Linked DNA regions of Ovis aries. The main gene of each other region encodes a partner of the protein of the gene in region 2 in a complex. Links are inferred from orthologs where the notes say so. Each region holds a gene or a part of one and is shown on either strand. Other genes may lie near its edges.

Region 1 (11,081 bases), on a different chromosome or scaffold from region 2:
AGCTGGGGAGGGGCAGGCAGGGGCAGGCCCCCCACTCACCGCTCTCGGAGCACAGGACAAACAGGAACTCGGCTGCCACCCTCTTCACGTCAGTGTCCAGGTGCGTCATGAGGCGAACTAGTTTGTTTCGCAACAGCTCCCCCACCTCAGGCCGGGTCCTCACGTCCCGCAGCGGGGGCAGCACCTGAGGAGGCAGCTGTCTCTCAGCCTGGGCCTGGAAGGACCAGGGTCTCCAACCAGGGCTCAGCCACAGCCCGTCTACCCCATACCTGGGCCTTCAGGAACTTCCTGGCGGGGCGGTGCATGCGGGCACACTCCGTCAGCACGCTCAGCACAGGGGCCACGCTCTCCTTCAGCCTGTGTGTCTGCAGAGGAGCCTCGGTCACTGGACTGGGCCCCCTTACTCAAGGCCGGGGGCCAGGAACCTGCCCCAGATGATCCTGGTGGGAGGCACTTGGGAAGTGGCCCCAGCTGAGGGACCAAGAGCGAGCCGTGGGTGTCTGTATGAGCTTCAAAAAGAACAGGCACAGACCCTAACTCAGAAGGCCATTTGTACGTTTGGGCAACCCCACGTACTTTCCCCACCTTTAAATGAGGGGTGGAAAACAGCATGTTTAAAGTCGTTAACCACCAGCACACAAGACCATTCCCAAAGCACTGAATCTTAGGCCTGCCGTGCTCCAGCCCGCACGACGCCGGCAAACCCCCAGAGAAGCTGGTCAGAGTGCCGGCCAGTCAGCATCCCAGGGTGCAGCTGCAGGGAGCGGGGGGCTGCGGGCTCTCAAGGGCCTGTGGGTCCTCCGAGCGAAACCATGGCACAGCTGACGCCCATCTCGAGGGCTGCTCGTGCACAAGGACATTCTGAGTCCAGGGGCACAGAGAGGGATGGGGAGCGTGGTGGCACTTCAAGGGGGTAGGGGTGGGAGGCTTCTCAGGACTCCTCAAGAGGATTCACAAAGATGTCTAAGAAATGAGTCCTTTGCCAGATTCTGAAAGCACTTTGCCCCTCATCCCTCTCTGTGCCCCTGGACTCAGACTGTCCCTGTGCACGAGCAGCCCTCGAGATGAAGCCCACAGACTTCTCAGGGAGGAAGATCCGGCTTGACCATGACGTGGGAGGAACCGCCCGAATCACACTGGGGAGGTGATCTCCCCTCACCAGTGTGGACAGCAAAAACACAGTGACCACAGTAGCTGCAAAAACCTGGGCCAAAGCCACAGCAGTCCCCCTGCCCACCTGATGAAGACGCTTCTCCATGAAGCTGAGGAGGACACGAATCACATCCATGTTCACCCCTAGGAACTCCAAGGAACCTCCGTGTGGCTCCAGGGCGAGGAGAACATCCAGACACTCGACAGGCAAGTTCCCCAGGAGGTTCACTGCGTGGCTGGGGGCAGATGGAAGGGGCACTTGGTGAATACCGACCCCTGCTGCCAGCTGCTGGGGCCGTAAATGCCGTGAACCAGTGTCTGGGGGCCCAAGCAGCAGAACAAGGTACCAGAGGCAAGAGTGCTACTTCCTGTAAATGCCCAACCCACCACGTATCTAGGTTGAGGCACCACAGCTAAAACTGAGAACCGGCCTAGGCATAGGCCACCAAGAAGGAAAGTGAGGAAGCACACCACCCTATCGATACCACAGCGCCCGCTGCCCCTACCCAAGGCCCCCTGGCACCGTCCTGCCTTGGACTCACACCTCCGATCCTAGACCATAAGTGCTGGAGCGCCCCAGAAACACACTTTTGTCTGGTTCCACCCAGAAGGATGAAGACTCTAAGGCTGGGAACCACCACAGCGACCTGTGAGCAAACCACCCCCATTCCTCCCCACCCCCCCGCATGACAGGCACCCCCCTCACCCGTGGAACTCCTCTGTGCGGTCTCCAGCAGCAGCAACCATCACACAGTGCCGCAGAAGGGTCCCCAAGTGCCGGTATAGAGCAGTGTCTTCCTGACCAGACAGACAGGAGTTCCTGTGAGAGCGCGCCCCACTGGCCCCACTGCTGCCAACTGAGAGTCTACCTTCTGGACACCCCTGCAAGACCTCATGCATTAACAACTATGCTTCTCTACTGCACACCCTGGTGCTTGTCCTCTCCCAGGAGACCTCAAGAGAACTCTCGGTTAAGAAAATCAATGGATCCCCTTGGCACACAGCTGCTCTGTGCTTCAGCCCCACTCAGTCTCACCACGAAGAATCTCACAGCCTCCCCTGCACACCACACAGCCCTCCAGCCAGGCTGCAAGAGCCAGTTATGCTCTCCAACTCCCTCAGAAAACTTCCTTGAGACCGGTCCAAGATAGGTGTTCCCTGCTTCTCTCGACTGGCTAAGCACACCTAATCCAGAAATTTGAAGGAACCCAGCAAAGCAGCATGTGCAGGAAATGTCCAAGCTGTTAAACCCCACCCACAGGTTGAGGTCCGCCCTCACCTCATCCACCTCCCTCTTGATGGAGTCGAAGGTGATGTTGAAAAGCACTTTGAGGATCTCCATGGCTCGCTCAGTCTCCTGGGGAGGCAGGAGCTCAGGGTGCCTCTCGCCCTCAGTCATTCCCAACGTCAGCTCCAGCGCCCTGGTCAGCAGGCGCACTCCCTGCAGCTCCTGAAACAGCTGCTGGCGCACGTCGGTGCGGAGTGCAGTTAGCAAGAACAGAAGACGCAAGTCAAAGAACTGGACGTCGTGCGGGAAGCTACTCCGGCTGTGCAGTCCGACGCGCTCTGCGAGCCTCACCACTAGCCCCGCCTCTGCTGCCAGGACCTGTGCCCCGGGGCTGCTTAGCACGAGGTTGCACAGGCACTTAAGGGACTCGAGTACGACATCCACGTTCAGCGGCTCAGGGACCGACCCTTGGGAGGCGGAGATGCCAGCATAGCAGGCAAGAGCCTGCAGGCTCCGGCGACTGGTGAAGGAGTCCAGGCAGCTGCGGTCCCTGGACAAGATGCGGATGCTCTGCAGCCAGATAACGCGGCGGGAGGGTGGCAGGCCCTGCTCCAGGACCGAGACAAGCAGCTTCGCCAGTCTCTGCGGGCAGGGAGAAGAGCCGTTCCACCAGGCCCTTCTACCTGGGCCACCCAATCACGCCCCTCCACCTCCGGTGAGCACCCACCTTCCTATCCTCCTGTTGCGCATCATCAAACGTGAAACTCTGGGAGTTCTGCAAAGAAACCCAGAGGCTAGAAGGCACAGGCCTACCGCGTCAGAACCCGGGTTCCGCGGATGGGGGCCTGAGGCCGAAGGCACCTCTATGAACAAATGGCGCCCCAGCCCCACACACCGGCACCCTCGCAACTCCTCAGAGAGTCGGTGCTCCTCCCCATCGCTCTCCCTTCCACCCTCAGCCCCTTGCCACGCTCACCGCTCTCGCCGCCCCTCCAGCCGGCCACGCGCGCGGGCCCCACCCGGCCCCACCTCCTCTCTGCACGTCCCAAGTCTACAACTCCCGCTCACCTCCCGGTTGTACGCGCGCAAAGCTTCCATAACCACGTCCTCCTCCCCCGTCTCCAAGGCATCCGCAACTGCACGGGGCTCCATGGCACCTCCAGGACCCGATGCCAGGAAGGCCGGAGGCTCCCGGCTTCGCGATTCCGGGCAAGCGTCTGCCCGCCCCGCCCAGGCTCGGCGCGCGGGGGAGGCCGGGACGGGGCGTGCGCGGCGCCGTGGGGCGGGGCCTGGGTTGCGCGCAGGGGAGGCCGGGACCGGGCGGGCGCCGAGCTCTCTGGGTTGCGTGGAGCCTTAAAGGGGCGGGGCCTGGGCTGCGCGCGTGGGAGGCCGGGACGGGGCGTGCGCGGCGCCGTGGGGCGGGGCCTGGGTTGCGCGCAGGGGAGGCCGGGACCCGGCGGGCGCAGAGCTCTCTGGTCTGTGTGGCGCCTTAAAGGGGCGAGGCCTGGAACAGCTGGATAGAACTTGAAGACTTTGCTGCCGAGTCAGCTTTGGCCTTAAACTCCGGCTCGGTGATCGTCCGACTTATGGGCCAGAATCGCCCTGAACCGAGCAGTGAGCCTCACTCCTTGGGCTAGGATTCCTGACAGGAGAGGGCCTCAGCCCCGCACCCCTCCATCACACGCACACCAACACCGCTCTTGATGCACAGAACGAATGAAACGTCCAGGGAAAAGTCGAGGTGGAAAGGAGTTTACAACCTCCGGACCACTTGGTTTCTAAACAGATGTTTGAGTGCCTACTGCACGCGAGGAGCCGGGATGCGGGTGAATAGAACCCACAGGTTCCTGCCTTCTTGGCGCTTATGTGCCGGATGTGAAGACTAAAACGGGCAAACAAGACGACGTTAGGCAGCTATAGTGCTGTGATTGAATAACAAAAGGGGCTTGATGGGCTGCAAGGAGATCTGAAGAAGTGCCAGTCAGTTTTTGCTGAGACCGGAGCCTAGGGAGTGAGCCAGGAAAGGCTCCGAAGGAAGGTTCTGCAAGGCAGGAGTGGCCAGTGCGAGGGTGGGAATGGCCGTGGAGGGAGAGAGAAACATCACTGTTGGAGCTGAGAGAAAAGAGAGACGGGGTCGGGGTGGGGGGAAGGTCAGGAGGAAGACAAAGTCTGACTGTGTGCGGTGACTTCCCTGCTGTGTAAGCAGGCACACCTGCTCGTCTGCTTGGGCTGTTTCCTTTTTTGAAAAGCAGAGACGATACAAGTTTCCATTTCAGTGGATTGTCGAGTACATGGCACAGCAATTGCTCCATTACGGGGGGTGGGTAACTTATAACCCATCCACCGGGCAAGAAGGCTTTGTTAAGCATCTACTTTGTCAGGCCCCTTGTCAGCACCGCGTGCAAGGTCAAAAAGCGCTGGCTCCTCCCGTACCCACTCCCCTCACGCTCCCACCCCTCTTCCTGGTTCCTTGTTTTCTTCAGAGGGCTTCACTCCTGCGACTTCTGCACCGCTCGCTCGTTCCAGGCACTGATCTCGTTTGTCCTGCCGGCAGTAACTGGAACCGGGCTTCCCATCGAGTTCGCTCCGGGCCTCAACCCCGGCGGGGTCGCGGCGAGGAGCCTCTTTGGCCCGGGAAAGGCCCGTGTGCTCTTCCCAGTTAGGACCCCGACACCGCCTTAGGCGGGAATGGCTGCTGGAGTGTCTGTGGGCACCATAGTTGCCTCTAAAACCACAAATCATCCAGGAGTCCCGAGAGCAAACGCCAGCCCCATCCCCAAGTCAAACGACGGAAGAAACGTCAGATTCTTCCCGTTCCCACCGCCGAGTCTGTCGGCCAGATCTCGGCCGGAAGTGGGGGGCCTGAGGCGGAAGGGGTGGGGCCGGAAGCCCCTTCCGGCGACTGCGCCACGTCCGAGGAGGCTGTAATCAAGCGGTGACGGACCCTGGGGTCGGAGCTGGACGCGATGGCGGACTGGGCTCGGGGTGAGCGCGGAAGGGCGGAGGCGGATGGCTACGGGGCTCGCCGGGGCCGACTCCGCTGCTCTTAGGAACCGCCTTCGCCTTTCTCCGCGGCACTAGGTGGCGTTGTTGGCAAGACACTGCGGGCGGGCGTAGTTTGGGCAGGGCGGCCAGGGTGCAGCCCGCCGCGCTGTGGATGAGTCGCTGGGTCCCTTTGGGCGCTCCTGCCCAGCTGCTGCGTGAAACTGCGGGGTCCGGATGCCCGCAGTCCCCACCCGTTTCGTCCCTGGGAGATGACTCTGCACGGGACCTCGGCCGGGTCTCCTGGTTGACGGGTCCCTGAGGCTAGACCCCCTCGGAGTGAGAGCTGCGCGTGATAGGAGGGCCCAAGCATGCCTAGTACCCCACTTGCCTTCTGGGAGTCTCTCTTCACCTGCGAAGTGGGATGCTGATGCTTGTTTCGCTGGGCTGTTGTGACTTTTAAGGAGTTAAGGGTACAGTCGGTCGGTAGGACCTTTACACCTCTTATTTTGGGGTTTGTAAGAAGCCATGGTTCCTAGACTGTGCCCGCTTTTGATGAGTCTCCTTGAGGCATCGGGCTCGAGGCAAATGCGCACTCTGAACTTTGTGGGAAACAGTTCTCACCAGCCTGGTAGGGTGGTAATTCTGAATCACCAGGCCCAGCGCCTGTCTCGGGCCAGTTCTCAGCGGGTACCAGGCTCTGGGTGACACACAAGACCCTGTGTGGGATCAGTCTCAAGCCCTGTAAGTCTTACCAGAGCTCATTGGGGTTTATTTTGAGAACAGGTTCTGTGTACCTTGCTAGTGACACCTGCGGAGGGATGGTACAAGTTCCGTCACAGAATGTCTGAAAGTACTGGTTGAACTGAGCCCTTTGGAGGTGCCCGCCCACCCATCCCAGCCTGGATACATGCACAGGACCTGTGCTCACACTGTTGTTTATACAGTCCTCCTCATGTGTGAAGTTGGATCCTGGGTGAGGGTGGGGCCTGCTCAGCAGACACACAGAGGCCGGGTCCCCTTAGATGCCTGACTGGGCCAGATGGGATTGGAGGCCGGAGGCCACAAAGGGCCGAGATTATAGGGGTCACGGTTCATGAGCGGAGTCATGCTTTCAGCCTCTCTCTCTCCTCACAGCTCAGAGCCCTGGTGCTGTGGAGGAGATTCTAGACCGAGAAAACAAGCGGATGGCTGACAGCTTGGCCTCCAAGGTCACCAGGCTCAAATCGGTCAGTGGTGGTCCTCTCCTTTTGCCTCCACCTGGCATCTGGAGGGGGTGGTCAGCGGGCAGTAAAGACCTGGATGGGTTTCAGGTAGTTCCGTTCTCCTTGTCCCACCTGTGGCATACTCATCTGTGCGAGGCCCAGGTGGCATTTGGATCTTCTGATCTCTGTTGATCTTGTTGGGGGTCAGGTGCTGTTCACTGTGTTTGTCCCGGTCTGACCCTGCCCCCTCTGTGTCCTGACCAGCTGGCTCTGGACATCGATAGGGATGCGGAGGACCAGAACCGGTACCTGGACGGCATGGTAAGGGCCTGCGGTTTGCAAGCGTCACGGTCAGCTCAGCTCCCCACCACCTGCTTTGCAGCCCCCATCTGTGTGTGTGTGTTGCAGAGTCACTGTCCCTTTGTGACAATGTTGGAATTTCTCCCTCAGGACTCAGATTTCACAAGTATGACGGGTCTACTCACAGGGAGTGTGAAGCGGTTTTCCACAATGGCGCGATCTGGGCGAGACAACCGGAAGCTTCTTTGTGGTATGGCTGTGGGCCTGATTGTGGCCTTCTTCATCCTCTCCTACCTCCTGTCGAGGGCAAGGACGTGAGCCAATGGGAACTGGCTTCTGTGGGTGCCTGGGGCAACCAGGATTTTCCTCTGTCTGGTGTTTTGGGCTCCAGAGAACTTGTTTTCAAAATACTCCTTTGAAATGAGGATCATGGCTTAGGAATGTTTTTTCTGCGTGGTTGGGAGCCTCTAACCCAGTGAGCTCTTGTTAGCTGGTTCTATGTGTGCAAGGGCCCTATCCCTGTGGGGTAGCCTAGGCCCAGCTCCCTCTGCCACCTTGAGCTCTAGAAGCCCCAGCAGTGTTGGGTCCAAGCAGAGCATCTGGGAATCCTGGACACGGCCGCCTGTGAGCAGCAGTCCTTTCATCGGCCCTTGAGGTTCTGAGCATCTCAAGGCTTCTCTGCGCTGTCTTGGTCTGGATGAGGCTGTGTCTGATGTTTGAGCTGCCTGGAGCTGACACAGGAAGGGGGTGTGGCTGTGAAGCTCAAATCACTGCTGTCACCTCCAACTGAGTGTCCTCAGCCCGGAGACTGCAGTTTCTCTGGCCAGGGCTGCTGGTCATCCATGACCCGGAGAGATTCAAAGGTCCTGCTGAGTGGCCTCTTCCTGCCCTCCAGTCCCGCGACTGAAACCAGGCCCTCGGGGATGGGCAGGGGGTGTGGGTGGAGGAAGGGACTGCAGCGCAGGCTGAGGACTTGGGGCCCAAGGCCTGCAGTTTCCCAGCCGTGTGTCCAGGAGCAGAAGCCGATGTTCTCACGGGATTCAGGATCTGCCCAGCACCAGAGGCCTGCTTCCCGGAGACTAGACCTCTGGAGACATGTCCGTCTGACGCTTCAGAGTCAGGCCCGGTGTGAGGCGGGGCTTTTGTCGGTGTACGCGGGAGGTTTCTGGATAGTGACTTTTCTTAGGAACTGTAGGGCACTTTTTGAGGGTTTGTGGGCAGTTTCCACTAAGCTAACCCTAACCTGCAATGTCTGCCCACCTCTCCCTGGGCCCTCAGTGTCCACTCGGTCAGTCCCCTGCTCCTATGGACTGAACTAACAGGCCCAGCCAAACCAGTGGCTTCGTTGTACCTCCCTGTGAGTCCCCGGTGTCCTCGTCTTCCCATAAAAAACGCTTGTAAGAAGTCGTTGGCTCTGTGTCTTTCCTGGTTCCTGTTCCCATCTTCTTGGGTACGCTCCTCACTCTGACCGTCCAGCTGCCCGCACACTCGTGCCGCGTGTGGGGCATCCGCTCCTCTCGCCACCTTGCCCTCTCCTCTGCCCGTGCGGACCTCGCCTTCTGGCCCTGGCACTCTGCCGCTCCTCTTCCTCTCCCTGGTTCCCTGCCCAGCAGGCCCGGCCTCTCCTCAGACGCTTGCCATGGAGCCCTTTTCTCTCTGCTGCACTTGGCTGGGCCCTTGGCCTCCTGAGTGTTCTGCCTGACGGTCACCATTCCTCCAGTGCGTGCTGCTCACACAGTAAGGTTGGCCTGCTTGCCTCTGTGTCCCTGGGGCTTGGGTTTATCTCTGTCCTCCTTGACATCCCTGCACAGGACCCTGTGGCCGTGCCTTGACCCCCGTTTTGTGTACCACGGCTTTGACTTCGCCCTCTGCCCTCTCACAGTGAACCTAGTCACAGGGACTTGTCCACTGGTCACCAGGCTCAAAGCTGCTACCCATAGAGTGTCTTCATCTGGTCACTGCAGGCACAGCAGATACCCCCAGACCTGAACTCCGTGGCCCCTGCCTTTTCTGGGCCTGCTAACCTTGCTTCCTGAGAAAGTGGCTCAGCCAGGGCAGCCCTCCTCAACTGCCCCGCTCCAAAGCAGACCAGGAATTTGGAGTTCGTGTTTCAGGGTGGTCTTTTCTGAGGAAAGTGAAAGTTGTTCAGTCGTGTCCGACTGTTTGTGACCCCATGGACTGTAGTTCATGGAATTCTCCAAACAAGAATACTGGAGTGGGTAGCCTTTCCCTTCTCCAGGGAGTCTTTCCATCCCAGGGAACGAACCCAGCTCTCCTGCACTGCAGCCAGGGTCTCTACCGACTGGGCTGTCGGTGAAGTCCCTTCTCTGAGGAGGACTTCGCCATCTCTGCTGTGTGGTTTGCCTCAGGTTGCCGTCTGTGCCTCCCTGCTTCTCCATCTCTGTGACTCTGTAGCCTTCCCAGCTATTCGGGGTCTGGGTGTTTGTTTGTCATTGTGTTAGATGAACAGCTGAAGCGGGCATGGAGCTCTGCTGTGCTGTGTCAGGAGGGTTTCCTGTGGGGCCTTCACCCTTCTCAGCCCTGTACACTGAGCGCCTAGTCCTGTGGGTGAGTGGGGTTTGCTGACGTTGAGCCCGAGACTATAAAGCAGAGAAGGACTTGAGGACCTTTGGGGTCACGTGTGGACAGACAGCCAGGCTCTATCCCTTAAGTCAAAGACAAGGCATTTAGCAAGAAAAACTCGAAATAAACAGCATCAAAGTAAACATGGCCTTTGGTGTTTCCATTTCTGTGGGGGCTTCAGAAAGGTTTGTCTGGAACTGACCGTGATCTACAAGCTGGCCACAGGCACTGGTGGTCTTGACTCTGCTGCTCACACATCCCCCTGGACAAGCAGATGTGGGCTTGACAGTTCCTGCTCCTGGACCTTTGTTTGCCCAGGTTCCTGTGACTCAGATGGAAAGATGATAGCATTACTGCGTCAGGATTGGGGGAATATATGTGAGTACTTAGAACAAGTAGCCTGACACAGTCACAGCTCAGTGAGGGCCAGCAGTTGTCATGTCCTTCGTATAGCTGCCGGCACAGGTGCAACAGGGCTGCCTGCTCAGGGCTGGGGTGAAGATCAGAATCATTCCTCAAGGCTGGCCCTGGACTCCAGGGTGCCCTCTGGAAACACCTCTCTTCATCCCCGCTCAGACACCCCTCCCTGCCCACACCCTGCTGTGCTCCTGGGCTTGATGCATAGCAGACCACCTTCAGGTGTCGCCACAGGGGACTCTGTCTCATGGGGACCCCTTGTGTTTGAGACAGAGATGGTTCTCTCTGCGCTAGGATGTTAGTTACAGCCTTTTGGAGGCAGGCTGGCACTACCACCCCCTGCAAGCTCAACACAAATCTGCAGGTGGTTGCAGAATGTGAGCTGAGGGCCCACCTGGCCTCACTGCCTTGCTGTGTGTCGAGCTCACTCACAGTGTGGTGGCTGATGGGAGGATGAGCAAAGAGAAGGGGGTTGTCCAGGCAGAAACCCTTTGTATGTTGTGTGGCCTGGCTTCAGAAGTCAATAACAGCAGCATGATTATTCAGGATGGTCACAGGCTCTATTCTAGAATCCAGGGGAGGGGCACAGACTCCATGTCTCAGCAGGGAAGAGTTAGTCTCACAGGGAGAAACCACCTGGAGAGACCTTCTGGAGGATACAACAGAGCGTGGAGGGCAGGGATGGAGGCAGAACGAGCCCTCCTCTCGGCTCAGACCCCGGGCCCTGGAACTCGACATGGGATGGCGTGATCGCCTATGGGGGCCTCTTTCTGGAAAAGCTGGATCCTCCCCCAAGAGAAGACCATTGCTGGTAGAATCCATGATTTTATTATATATCTGGGCACAGCAAGAAACAAGGTTAGCAAATGGGAACGCATAGAAAAAATAACTGATTGCAATTGGCTAAACGAGCGTGCTCTGCCCTCCAGGGCTGGGCCGGCTGCAGCCCTCAGCTCGGGGCATCTCTTAGTGGGGCGATGTGCAGAGACTTCCAGCATGGGGGTGGGGCCGGGGCTAGTCCACATCCACGACCAGGGGCGTCATGTAGTCAGAGTGTTTGATGCCGAAGGAGACAACAGGGGCGCAGGGCCTGGTCATCGTCACCTGGGAGAGGAGAGGCTGTAAGGAGCCGGCACCGCTGCCCCACCCCACAGGCTCTGCCCTCACTGGCTGGAGCTGCTGACAGTGGTTTTGCTGTACCCCCGAAACCCTGG
Region 2 (10,768 bases):
GAGACACATCTCCAAACGCAAGCACACTCACTCACTCCTGATCCAAGATGACAGAGTTCTATAAGGGCGCTCTGGTCCTAGATTTTTCTACATCTCTGTTAGTCCTAAGTTCTCCTCGTTTAATCTTTGTTAAAGGATATGAATGTCTGCTTTCCTAAGAGACAAATTCTAGAATAATTCAAAGAAGGCAGCTGTATAATAAGAATTGGGGTAGGGGGGTGGCAAGGTAGTCCACAGAGTCTTGATCCTTTCACTAACTTCCCTGCATGATTCTGTTATTCTCAGTCTTTTTGGAATACTCTACTCTCTGATTTCATAAGACATATATTCTCCTAGGAGTGCTCTACAGCCTATACACTTTTAAAGATTCAAGAGATGGAACCCCTACCCAACTGAGAGGTATCGATACCTGTTCCTTTATGCTTTGCTCAGAATTGTGAAATTAATGAATGTTAAGAGCTAAGATGGCCCTCAGAAATCATCTAGTCTAACCTCATTTTACAGTTAAGGAAACCAGAGCCTGGAGAAACTGTCTTCCCCAAGGCCATAGAAAAGAGAAGGTGTGTAGCAACACTAGTTACAGAATGCAAGTCTCCTGACTATGGCACTGTACACCATGTACACGATGGCACTGAGGGATATTTTCATGCTCTCAAGGTACACAGGTATAATCCTTTCAAATCTCTTCATTTTTTAGGGAGCTAGAATTAACACTATAATCAACTACAAAACAGCAAGACTGATACCAGGTAGAATGGACACCGGAAACTCAGAAAAAATGAGCTACTCTAAATAACACTATTCTTGACCCCTCATGTCTTTCCAAACCATTCACATGTGAGTGACTCACTCTGCAGCCGAATGTTTGGTAAACTAGGTGCATGGCAGCACAATGTCTCAGACACGGAATAAAATGGAAACAGCCAGCTCTGAAAGTGCTAGAGGAAGCCCACCTCATCTCAACCAAGGTGGCAGCCTCTCCATCTTGTAGAAAAAGAAAAGAAGGTAGCTCAGTCATGTCCAACTCTCTGTGACACTCCGGACTATACAGTCCATGGAATTCTCCAGGCCAGAATACTGCAGTGGGTAGCCTTTCCCTTCTCCAGGGGATCTTCCCAACCCAGGGATCAAACCCAAGTCTTCCGCACTGCAGGTGGATTCTTTACCAGCAGAGCCACTTGTTCAGTTCAGTCACTCGGTCGTGTCCAACTCTTTGCGATCCCATGAATTGCAGCACGCCAGGCCTCCCTGTCCATCACCAACACCCGGAGTTCACTCAGACTTGCGTCCATCAAGTCAGTGATGCCATCCAGCCATCTAGCAGTTTGAATTTTCACAGCCCCAGAATGACTCATCTTGGTCCATTAGAACTGTGGAAATAACTTCAGTTTCAACAGGATCTTTAAAATCTGTGATTAATGCTTTTGGTGCTTCCTTGCAGCATTTCTAGGACCTACATCCTCTTTGCAGACCTCATGGTTAACCTGGATCTCACACCATAAAGGAAATTAAAGCATCAGATCACTCTAAGCCTGGTTCCTCAATTATAAATAAGAAATATAACAGCACTGACCTGTATAGTTGTCTGAAAAAGACAATACACATAACAAACACGCAGCAAATGCTAAGCACATTAGGGCTCAACAAACAGTGACTACCAGTGTTTTTAAAGTAAATTCCTAGGTAGGAAGAACTAAGCAAAAACTAAATTTAAAGAATATGAAGTGTTGGAAAAATTAAAATTCTGCAGTCAGTGAGTAATTGTGTTTACCAACATGCTACATATGGTCCTCCATAGTTATCATTTTTTCTGGTTTCCAAAATAATGAAGTTTTGTGTATAGCAACTGAAATTTAAGTGAATTAAAGTGAAAAACTGAATAATTTTACAATGTTCATTACAACATGTGGAGAGATGCCTTCAGGTGCTACGAAACTAAAACTAGAAATCATGACTCTAGGTACTTACTGTATTGACTGGATAAGAATTTACAGCAGCCTGAGATATGTGGAGAGACCTCTTCAGATGCTGCAAAACTAAGACTACTGTTGTGGGTGTTTAAAGTAATAATGGATTAATAAGTATCACAAATGCTAATGGACTGTCACTTCCATACAAACTTCCTAAAGTAGGACACATTGCGTCTGTTAATCCTATCCTTTTTAAAAATAGGTGTATACATTGATTTTAAAAGTGATGACAATATGGAAAACATGGTAAATAAAATCACCTTCAGTTTCAACATTTAATCATATGTTGAGTTACTATTCTCTTCCCAACAACTCACAGTATTTATACAACCATTCAGCAAATATTTATAGAGCACCAAGTATGTACTAGGCATTGTTCTAGGTGCTTGAGTGCTAAGTCACTTCAGTCATGTCTGACTTGCTTCGACCCTATGGACTGTAGCCTGCACCAGGCTTCTCTGTCCATGGGATTTTCCAGGCAAGAGTACTGGAGTGGGTTGCCATATCCTTTTCCATCTAGGTGCTTAGGATATATAATTAACAAAACAGACAAAATATAGAGCTTACAACAGAAGAGGAGGGAACGCTTCCAAAGTCTTTTATGAGGCCAGCACTACATCGATACCAAAACCAGAGAACATCACAAGAAAAGAAAATTACAGGCCAATATCCCTGATGCAAAAATCCTCAACAAAATATTAGCAAAATGAAGGGCATTTTCCACCAAAACAGAACAAACAATCCAAAAATTTGTATGGAACCACAAGAGACCACAATTAGCAATTTTGAAAAAGAAGAACAAAGCTGGAGGCATCATGCTTTCTGATTTCAAACTACAGCTGACCCTTGAACAAGGGTATGAATTGGGCAGGCCCCCTTATAAACACATTTTTTTCAATAGTAAATTCTACAGTACCATATAACCTATGGTTGGCTGAGTCTGCAGATACTGAGGAACCTTGGATAGGAGGGCCAACAAGCTACACTTGGATTTTCAGCTACACAGAAGGTTGGTGTTCAAGGGTTAACTGTATATTATAAAGCTATAGTAATGAAAACAGTATGGTAACTGGCATTAAAACAAATTCAAAGCTCAATGGAATGGAAAAGACAGCCCAGAAAAAAAATCCACCAATGTATGGTCCCCAGCATATTTTTGTGCCTCTCTTTCAACCTCTACTCAGTCACCAGCATTCTCCTTCTAAAATACAACCATATGGTCCGATTTTTAGAATCTGTATTTTGTTCAGGATATTTGCATCTGTGTTCATCAGGGATAGTGGCCTGTATTTTTCTTTTCTTGTGATGTCTTCTGCCTTTGGTATCAACATGGGCTGCCTTTTAAAAGAATTTAAAATCCTTTACTGACTCTCCATATCAAGTTTAGATGTCTTAATGTGATATTTAGGTCCCTTAGTGGAAACAGTGTCAGACTTTATTTCTTTGGGCTCCAAAATCACTGCAGATGGTGATTGCAGCCATGAAATTAAAAGACACTTACTCCTTGGAAGGAAAGTTATGACCAATCTAGGTAGCATATTCAAAAGCAGAGATATTACTTTGCCAACAAAGGTCCGTCTAGTCAAGGCTATGGTTTTTCCTGTGGTCATGTATGGATATGAGAGTTGGACTGTGAAAAAAGCTGAGCGCCGAAGAATTGATGCTTTTGAACTGTGGTGTTGCAGAAGACTCTTGAGAGTCCCTTGGACTGCAAGGAGATCCAACCAGTCCATTTTAAAGATCAGTCCTGGGTGTTCTTTGGAAGGACTGACGCTAAAGCTGAAACTCCAGTACTTTGGCCACCTCATGCGAAGAGCTAACTCACTGGAAAAGACTCTGATGCTGGGAGGGATTGGGGGCAGGAGGAGAAGGGGACGACAGAGGATGAGATGGCTGGATGGCATCACTGACTCGATGGACATGAGTCTGAGTGAACTTCGGGAGCTGGTGATGGACAGAGAGGCCTGGCGTGCTGCGATTCATGGGGTTGCCAAGAGTCGACTGAGCGACTGAACTGAACTGAAAGGTCTGGCTGTGTCTTACTTACCTCATCTACTATTGATCTCCTACACACATCTTGTTTCAGTCACAGTTCTGAATATTTGACTTTTCTTTTCCCCTTCCTTTGTTGTCTCTTCTCACTTCCCCTCTCAGGCAAATTCCCACTCAACCCTTTACACTCAGAAGTTCTCCTTTCTGAGAAGCTTTCCTCTCACTCCCCTACGGCCATGTTAGCCTTCCTGTCACGGTCTCAAAACTATCTTAGGACTCATCACACACTTTGGAAATCTCCCATTTAAGGCAAGAACTCACAGAACTCCCCAGACCCAGGATATTGAGTGATTCATAATTCTTGATAGATGTTTATTGAAAATACTGAATTCAATTACAGAGCATAAGCTAAATGCAAGGGATGTGTTATGTATTAATGTATTATTCAGTGACTATATTATTCAGTGCCTAATAATTCATGATAGGAAAGCTTTGGAAAGCCTATGAAGTCGTCTTAGTACAAGAAAAAAAGGATTCAGAGATGACACCCCAGTATGTTTGCTTAATTAAATCCAACTTATTCAACAAATATTTATTGAGGAATATAAACAAAGCAGTGAATAAAGGGACTGAAGGCTGTTGAAATTCTTATAACCTGAGGATATGCAAATACTATATAATACTTACCCACTGAACAACTAAGTGTTACCAGCAACTTGTGTGGAGACTATTTTGTACCTGGGTAGAAATTCACACCTTTTTGATTGTCCTCAGGTAGATGACAAAAGTGAATACAACTAAGTTTTCTATTTTTGGAAACAGAATGTCCTTTGGCATTATTTAGCCTTCCCTGATAGCTCAGTTGGTAAAGAAGTCGCCTACAATGCAGGAGACCAAGTGCAATGCAGGAGACAGGGGTTTCAATCCCTGGGTTGGGAAGATCCCCTGGAGAAGGAAATGGCAACCCACTCCAATCTGGGAAACGCCATGGACAGAGGAGTCCGGTGGGCTACAGTCCATGCGGTTGGAAAGAGTCAGACACGACCTAGCAACTAAACCACAACCACACCCTTACAAAAACAAATCTTGCAAAATTTAAATCAACACCAGGTGAAAAAAATGATCTATTTTTCAACCATGTAAATCAGATCCAATCACTCTCCTGTTCTGTAGCCTTTAACTTCAAGTCACTGTATTTAGATAAAGATGCAAATCTTTCACCAGGGTTCACGTGGCCCCACACAATCTGGCCCTTTAAAACCTTATCTATTACTATTATTTCCTTTGCTCATTCCACCCTAAACACACTGGCCCTTTAGTTCTTCCTAGAGCATACCAAGCTCACTTCTGCTTAAGGACTATTGCAGTACTATTCTGGAGAAGGAAATGGCAACCCACTCCAGTCTTCTTGCCTGGAGAATCCCAGGGATGGGGAAGCCTGCTGGGCTGCCGTCTATGGGGTTGCATAGAGTTGGGCACGACTGAAGTGACTTAGCAGCAGCAGCAGTACTAGTCTGTCCTCCTGAAACTTATTTCTCCCAAATTTTTGCATGGTTCAGTCCCTTACTTCAAGTCTCTGCTCAAACGTTACCTCCTCAAAGAGGCCTTTCATAGCCATCCAATTTACAATTAGAGCTTCCCCATTCCTTGCCCTGCTTTATTTTCCTGTATGGCCCTTAACACCACTTCCAAATATTTATATCATCATCGACCCATAAGAACAGAGGTCTCTAAGTCTTTTCACAGCAATTTGCAATATTACCAGCATCTACACAGTGCCGAGTGCACAGCAGCCTCTCTTAATAACTATATGTTAAACAAAAGTATGAGTTTCATTCTCATCAGAGTCATTCAATTCATGTGACCTTAGGTAACAGAGCAAACACTCAAGCTTCCACGCTTCAGGAAAAGCAATGAAAGTCTCATCGGCCTTGCCATCAAGATCTACTTGTTTTAAGGCAAAGAACTATGATAGACCTTCCTATACAGATTCAATCAAAAAATTCTTAGCTCCCCCAAGACAAGCTTGCAGCACACTGCATTATGAAATCAAGGGGCAGGAAGGTCTAAGCAGAGGTCATAAAAGGATCGCACCTGAAGGCCACCATCCTCATTTTAAAGACCAATCCCTCCCCCAACCCCTACCCGCCCCCAAGACTGGTTATTTACACCAGCCTCCAAAGTTATGATGGCTTTGGGTTTTTAACCCTTTTTGTGCTACAGGTCCTTTGCCAATCTGGTGAAAACTATGGGCCTCTTTGGAGAACACTTTCAAGCGCGGAAAACAAAGTACTGAGAGCCACAAAGAAAACCAATTATACTCAGTTTACAGATTTAAGGGTCACAGGTATAAGGTCTCTCATGCCCATCTTGCCACAGTGAAAATGAAACGAGCGAACTCTGAAGGCAACAGGGGATTCAAGAGAGAGATGACACTCCGTGGTGGACCCCTGGGTACCTAAGTGTCAGCACGGAGATTCTGGACGCCGGGACTCAGCCAGGCCTAGGGGGCGTGCCTGAGGACGCCAAGCGAGAGACGGGAGGGTGGGTCTGGAAAGGAGGTGGGGGTTCTTCCTCCCGGTGCTAGCGGAGCGCTGTTCCCGTTGTCTCATCCCGCCCCCACCTCACCTGTCCCTGCCATCCCCAGGAGCCGCTCCGGCACCCCTCGTAGGTCTTCATGGAGGCCGCGGAAGATCTCGTGCAGTTTCTCGAAATGCTCCGAGGAGGCGGCGGAGGTGGCCATGGCGCAGGCCGCTCTCGAGCAGCGGGCGCCGAGATTCTGGGCCCAGGGCCCGCTCCTACTCCGCCGTCAGCCGCCCAGCCCCTCAGGCATCACGGCGACCGCCGCCACAGTCCCCCGACGAGGCGCTTCCGGGGCCGCGGCGGGGTCCTCCCGGGCCGGAACGCCCATCCCCTGCTTGCCGTCACTGACGGCGCGCCGGGCGTCAAAGCCTGACAGAAAGTTAGTCTGGCTCCGTTGCCCGGGAGACTTCTGAAGGGGCGGTGGCGCTTTGGCGCGAGCGGCAGTCTCGGAACCCCAGAAATACTCAGTCCGAGGCTGTAGGGAGGCCGGATGGCGGAAGGAAAACATGGGCACCCGCGGGCCGGCCGACGCGGGCGCCTCTTTCCTGGGCCCCGCCTTCCGGCAAGGATTGGGGGGGGGGGCTCTGCAGTGCATGCCGGGGGTTGTAGTTCGGCACGAAAGACGCTCCGACTCGGAAGTCACGAGTTGCCGGGGGCGGTGGTCCTGCTGTAACCGCGGCCGCCGGCGTGACCGCGATGCGCAGCGGTTAGGGTATCAGTTGGCACCTGGCCGTCGTCGTCATTATCATCGCACTGTGACTATCCTGATTTCCTCAGTTCACATTCCGGCTGTTAGCTTTCAGTTCTCAGAAGATAGTAGGACCAGGTGCCTGCCTGCCCCCGAGTTGAAAGCACTTTTATTGGGGAGCAGGTGACTGGAGTGACATGCTTTCAGGAGTGGCCCCCGGACAGCAGTGCGACCCCTCAAATATGCGCTCAGCCTCTTATTTGGGCTGAGCTCATATATCGGCTTGCTCATGCAGTCATTCACTCAGCAGGTGTTTGTCAATTTAACCATAGCCTTTATGCTGGGTTCTGGGCATGTGTTGGTGAATAAAAGATTCATCGCTTGGATAACTTATAATGTAGTGAGCAAGACAGACCTGGCTTCACCATTAAGTGTAATGTGTTAACGATTACAAAGCCTTTTCCTGCACTCTGTGGGTTCCCATGGTTAGTGGGAGAAAGTTCCTATTTCCGTTGATTACATGGTTTGCCTATGGAGTTCATTCTGAAATGTTTCCTTGGCAGCCCAATACTGAAGACTGCCCACACATTAAGATACATTTGACTGTTCGGGGGAAATGATTTGGTGATGTATATACCTCCTGGGCCCTTATTTTTATTAGACTGAGTTCATTGGCCTTTGATTCAACAAACATTTGTTGAGCTCTTTGTGTAGCCAAGTCTGCAGTTGTTAGTAGCAGTGTACTGTGATAAGTCCCAAGAAAGTGAAAAGTGTCAGTCGCTCAGTTGTATCCAGCTCTTTGTGACTCCATGGACTGCAGCCTGCCAGGCTCTTCTGTCCAGGGGATTTCCTAGGCAAGAATACTGGAGTGGGTAGCCATTCTCTTCTCCAGGGGAATATTCTTGACCCAGGGATGGAACCCAAGTCTTCTGCACTGCAGGCGGATTCTTTATCACTGAGACACCAGTATTCATTGAGCATTCAGAGATAGCAAAGTCTGGGATTGTTAGTAGTAGTGAATAGCATTGTGTTACAGAAAAGGCAGGTACAAAAAGGAAAGATTATAAATAGCCTGGGTTGGAAAAAGTGGTCTTTGAACAGTGTCATAAAAGATTAGCAGAAATGGGTGAATGAACAATCAAATTATCAACAACCCAAGTTAATAACATTTGAATTGAGACTGCACTGTGGCAAACTCTGGGACAAATTGTCCTCATGAATGAGGACTGATTGCATAACCATAGTAATGAAAAGTGTTTTCTTATTTTGACCGTAATTAAACTTTCATTTAATTGCTTTCTTCTGTTGATGCAAATTAAATTTGCTTAATTATTACAGGTTTTATTCTGGTAAATAAAAACATGGTAAATCATCAAATTTTTTATTTGTCATTGACAGTTCAATATAAATTAAGTAAAATATTAATTCAGTTCTGTACTATTATCAAAAGTTTTCCAATTTTTCCATAAAATGACCATATCTAAATATATAGTTTAATGGTCAAAACAAGTTCAACAAAAGATTATTTACAAATATGAGAAGACTATGGTCCTATGACTCTTTTCTCCACCAAAGTGAACATGTAATTACTAGTCCAAGAAAATCATAAACTCTACTAAAAGAATGTACTCCAAGCAAGTGATGGAACATGTTTGTGTTCCAATTTCTCAGACTTCCATTACTTTGGATAAACATTCTTCAAGTAAACTATACAGCAGACATTTTAATCTTGTCATGGTCATATAAGGAAATGCCCTGAAAGAGTTTTAAAATGACCATAATTACCAATACCAATCCTTAAGATAATTTTGCTGAATAAAGAATTGGAGCGGGTTGGGGACTGTTTTTGCTTTTCTGCCACATGGGTTGACGGATGCTTGTTAAAACAGTGCCTTATCATGCTTGAACACAGGGTGCTGCTAAGTAGTTACCCTCAATTCTTCTATTGCTGGATTTTACCATCTTTAGCTGTGCATTAAAAAAAAAAAAAAAAAAGAAACACCTTTTTCTAGCCCCTTCATTGCCTTTGCATGCATTACCTTCCAGGATTCTGCTCTTTTTTGGACTTCTCCCCTGCTACCCATGTGCTTCTTGGGTAGAGTTCATTTCCTATTTGTATCAAAGGCTGAGTGACACAGGTCTGCTCTGTCTCTGATTATTTATCGGCACTAGGGTCCAGTTTAATACTCTTCCTTTGTGACTATTTTGAATACTCCCAACTGCTTAAACACACAAGAACACACACAAAGATATACTCAGGGACAATCATTAAATAGCCTTCCTCTTCTGGTTTGCTAAGAGAAACTAAGGCACAAAGAGGAAGCCTCCATGAATCAGGGTCAGTAACTGAAGTCAAGTGGCCTATCTTTGCAAACTGCTTTTTCCACTACCTTCTTGCTGATTTGAGAAACAGCAGAAAAATGAATGACAGTTTAAATTTGATGTTTATTTCTGCCTTTCCGCAAATCTCTGCCATCCAGTAAACTCCACTTTCTTAGAAAAGGAAGTTCTTCTGTGATCTAGGCATGGGAAAGTGTTTTAGCCGCAGTGGCTTTGGATTGTCAGAGATAAAGCCATGCCACAATCCAGATTCAGTGAAGAGCTGAAAGAATTCAGATATTGGTGCCATGGCGGTTTTCTTAAGAGAAGAAGGACAAACCCTGCCCTTGAGCCAAGCCACTGGGACTCCTAGAGTTTAGCTGAGGCTAAATCATGCCTCCCCTTGAAGGTTGTTTGGTTCAGAAGAACTACATTGTGGACAAAGAGGATAGAAACTAATCCAAAGTGCCATCAATCAACCTCTGCCACAGCTCAGGTTCCCCTGGGTAAGAGGCTTCAGAAGGAAAAGATGAGCTTGGAGGTCACCTGAGGGTCTACTTAGCCTATATTATCTCTAGTAACGGGCAGTAATAGAAGCAAAATAACCTGGACAAATGCAAGGTGTTTGGATGAATCCGGCAGTGTACACTGGGCTTTTGTCAGGCATCAAACAGGCAAGGTTGGAAGGTGTGCTTTGTGCTCAAGGTTTTGGCCATCCTGAAGGAGAATCGTTTTGGCAGGGCATGCTAAGTAGTCTACTTCAAGCTTCTCTTGGGTCCAGCTGCCATCATCAGCCAGTCCACAGGAATGCCCAGCAGGTCACAGCTGACGTCCCACAGCCGCCTTGCTACTGTCTCATTACGAGCCTGTGCAGAGACCCATGCCACATGGCAGTCACTGGAAGGGAAAGAGAGAGGCTTAGCACACAGGGTTAAGAATGCAGTCTGCCCTCCGCCTGGCATAAGGAACACGACAGAAAAATAACCCGGGGATGACGTGTGTTCTGGGTGCTTCGCAGGACCAGTGTTTGTCCTATCTCTTCATTCTCCAGTCTTTACCCCAGAGAAAAATGGGGCCAGAACCATTTTGGAGCTCACTAGACCACCTGGGATCAGAATGTTTGTTTGATATATAATACACATCATTTAGTCTTTATATCCCCCTTGTGTGTGTGTGTGTGTGTGTGTGTGTGTGTGTGTGTGTGTGTGTGTATAAA

The links.
Region 1: VTI1B (region 2) and BET1L share a complex: the UniProt entries of both Homo sapiens proteins name them as parts of the SNARE complex. The link is inferred for Ovis aries from reciprocal best matches to the Homo sapiens genes VTI1B and BET1L.

What each region holds. Positions count from the first base shown.
Region 1 is NC_056074.1:47,474,481-47,485,561, forward strand, and holds BET1L (BET1-like protein), read left to right. Parts: upstream 1-5,280; 5' UTR 5,281-5,346; coding exon 5,347-5,365; intron 5,366-6,499; coding exon 6,500-6,591; intron 6,592-6,831; coding exon 6,832-6,888; intron 6,889-7,017; coding exon 7,018-7,185; 3' UTR 7,186-8,271; downstream 8,272-11,081. Other genes in the region: RIC8A (synembryn-A), read right to left, coding at 40-184, 270-365, 1,238-1,388, 1,859-1,950, 2,432-3,022, 3,108-3,155, 3,449-3,532; CIMAP1A (ciliary microtubule associated protein 1A), read right to left, coding at 10,882-10,971. UniProt on the Homo sapiens protein: Vesicle SNARE required for targeting and fusion of retrograde transport vesicles with the Golgi complex. Required for the integrity of the Golgi complex.
Region 2 is NC_056060.1:77,612,146-77,622,913, forward strand, and holds the start of VTI1B (vesicle transport through interaction with t-SNAREs homolog 1B), read right to left. Parts: upstream 6,836-10,768; 5' UTR 6,706-6,835; coding exon 6,591-6,705; intron 1-6,590. Other genes in the region: RDH11 (retinol dehydrogenase 11), read right to left, coding at 10,308-10,449. UniProt on the Homo sapiens protein: V-SNARE that mediates vesicle transport pathways through interactions with t-SNAREs on the target membrane. These interactions are proposed to mediate aspects of the specificity of vesicle trafficking and to promote fusion of the lipid bilayers.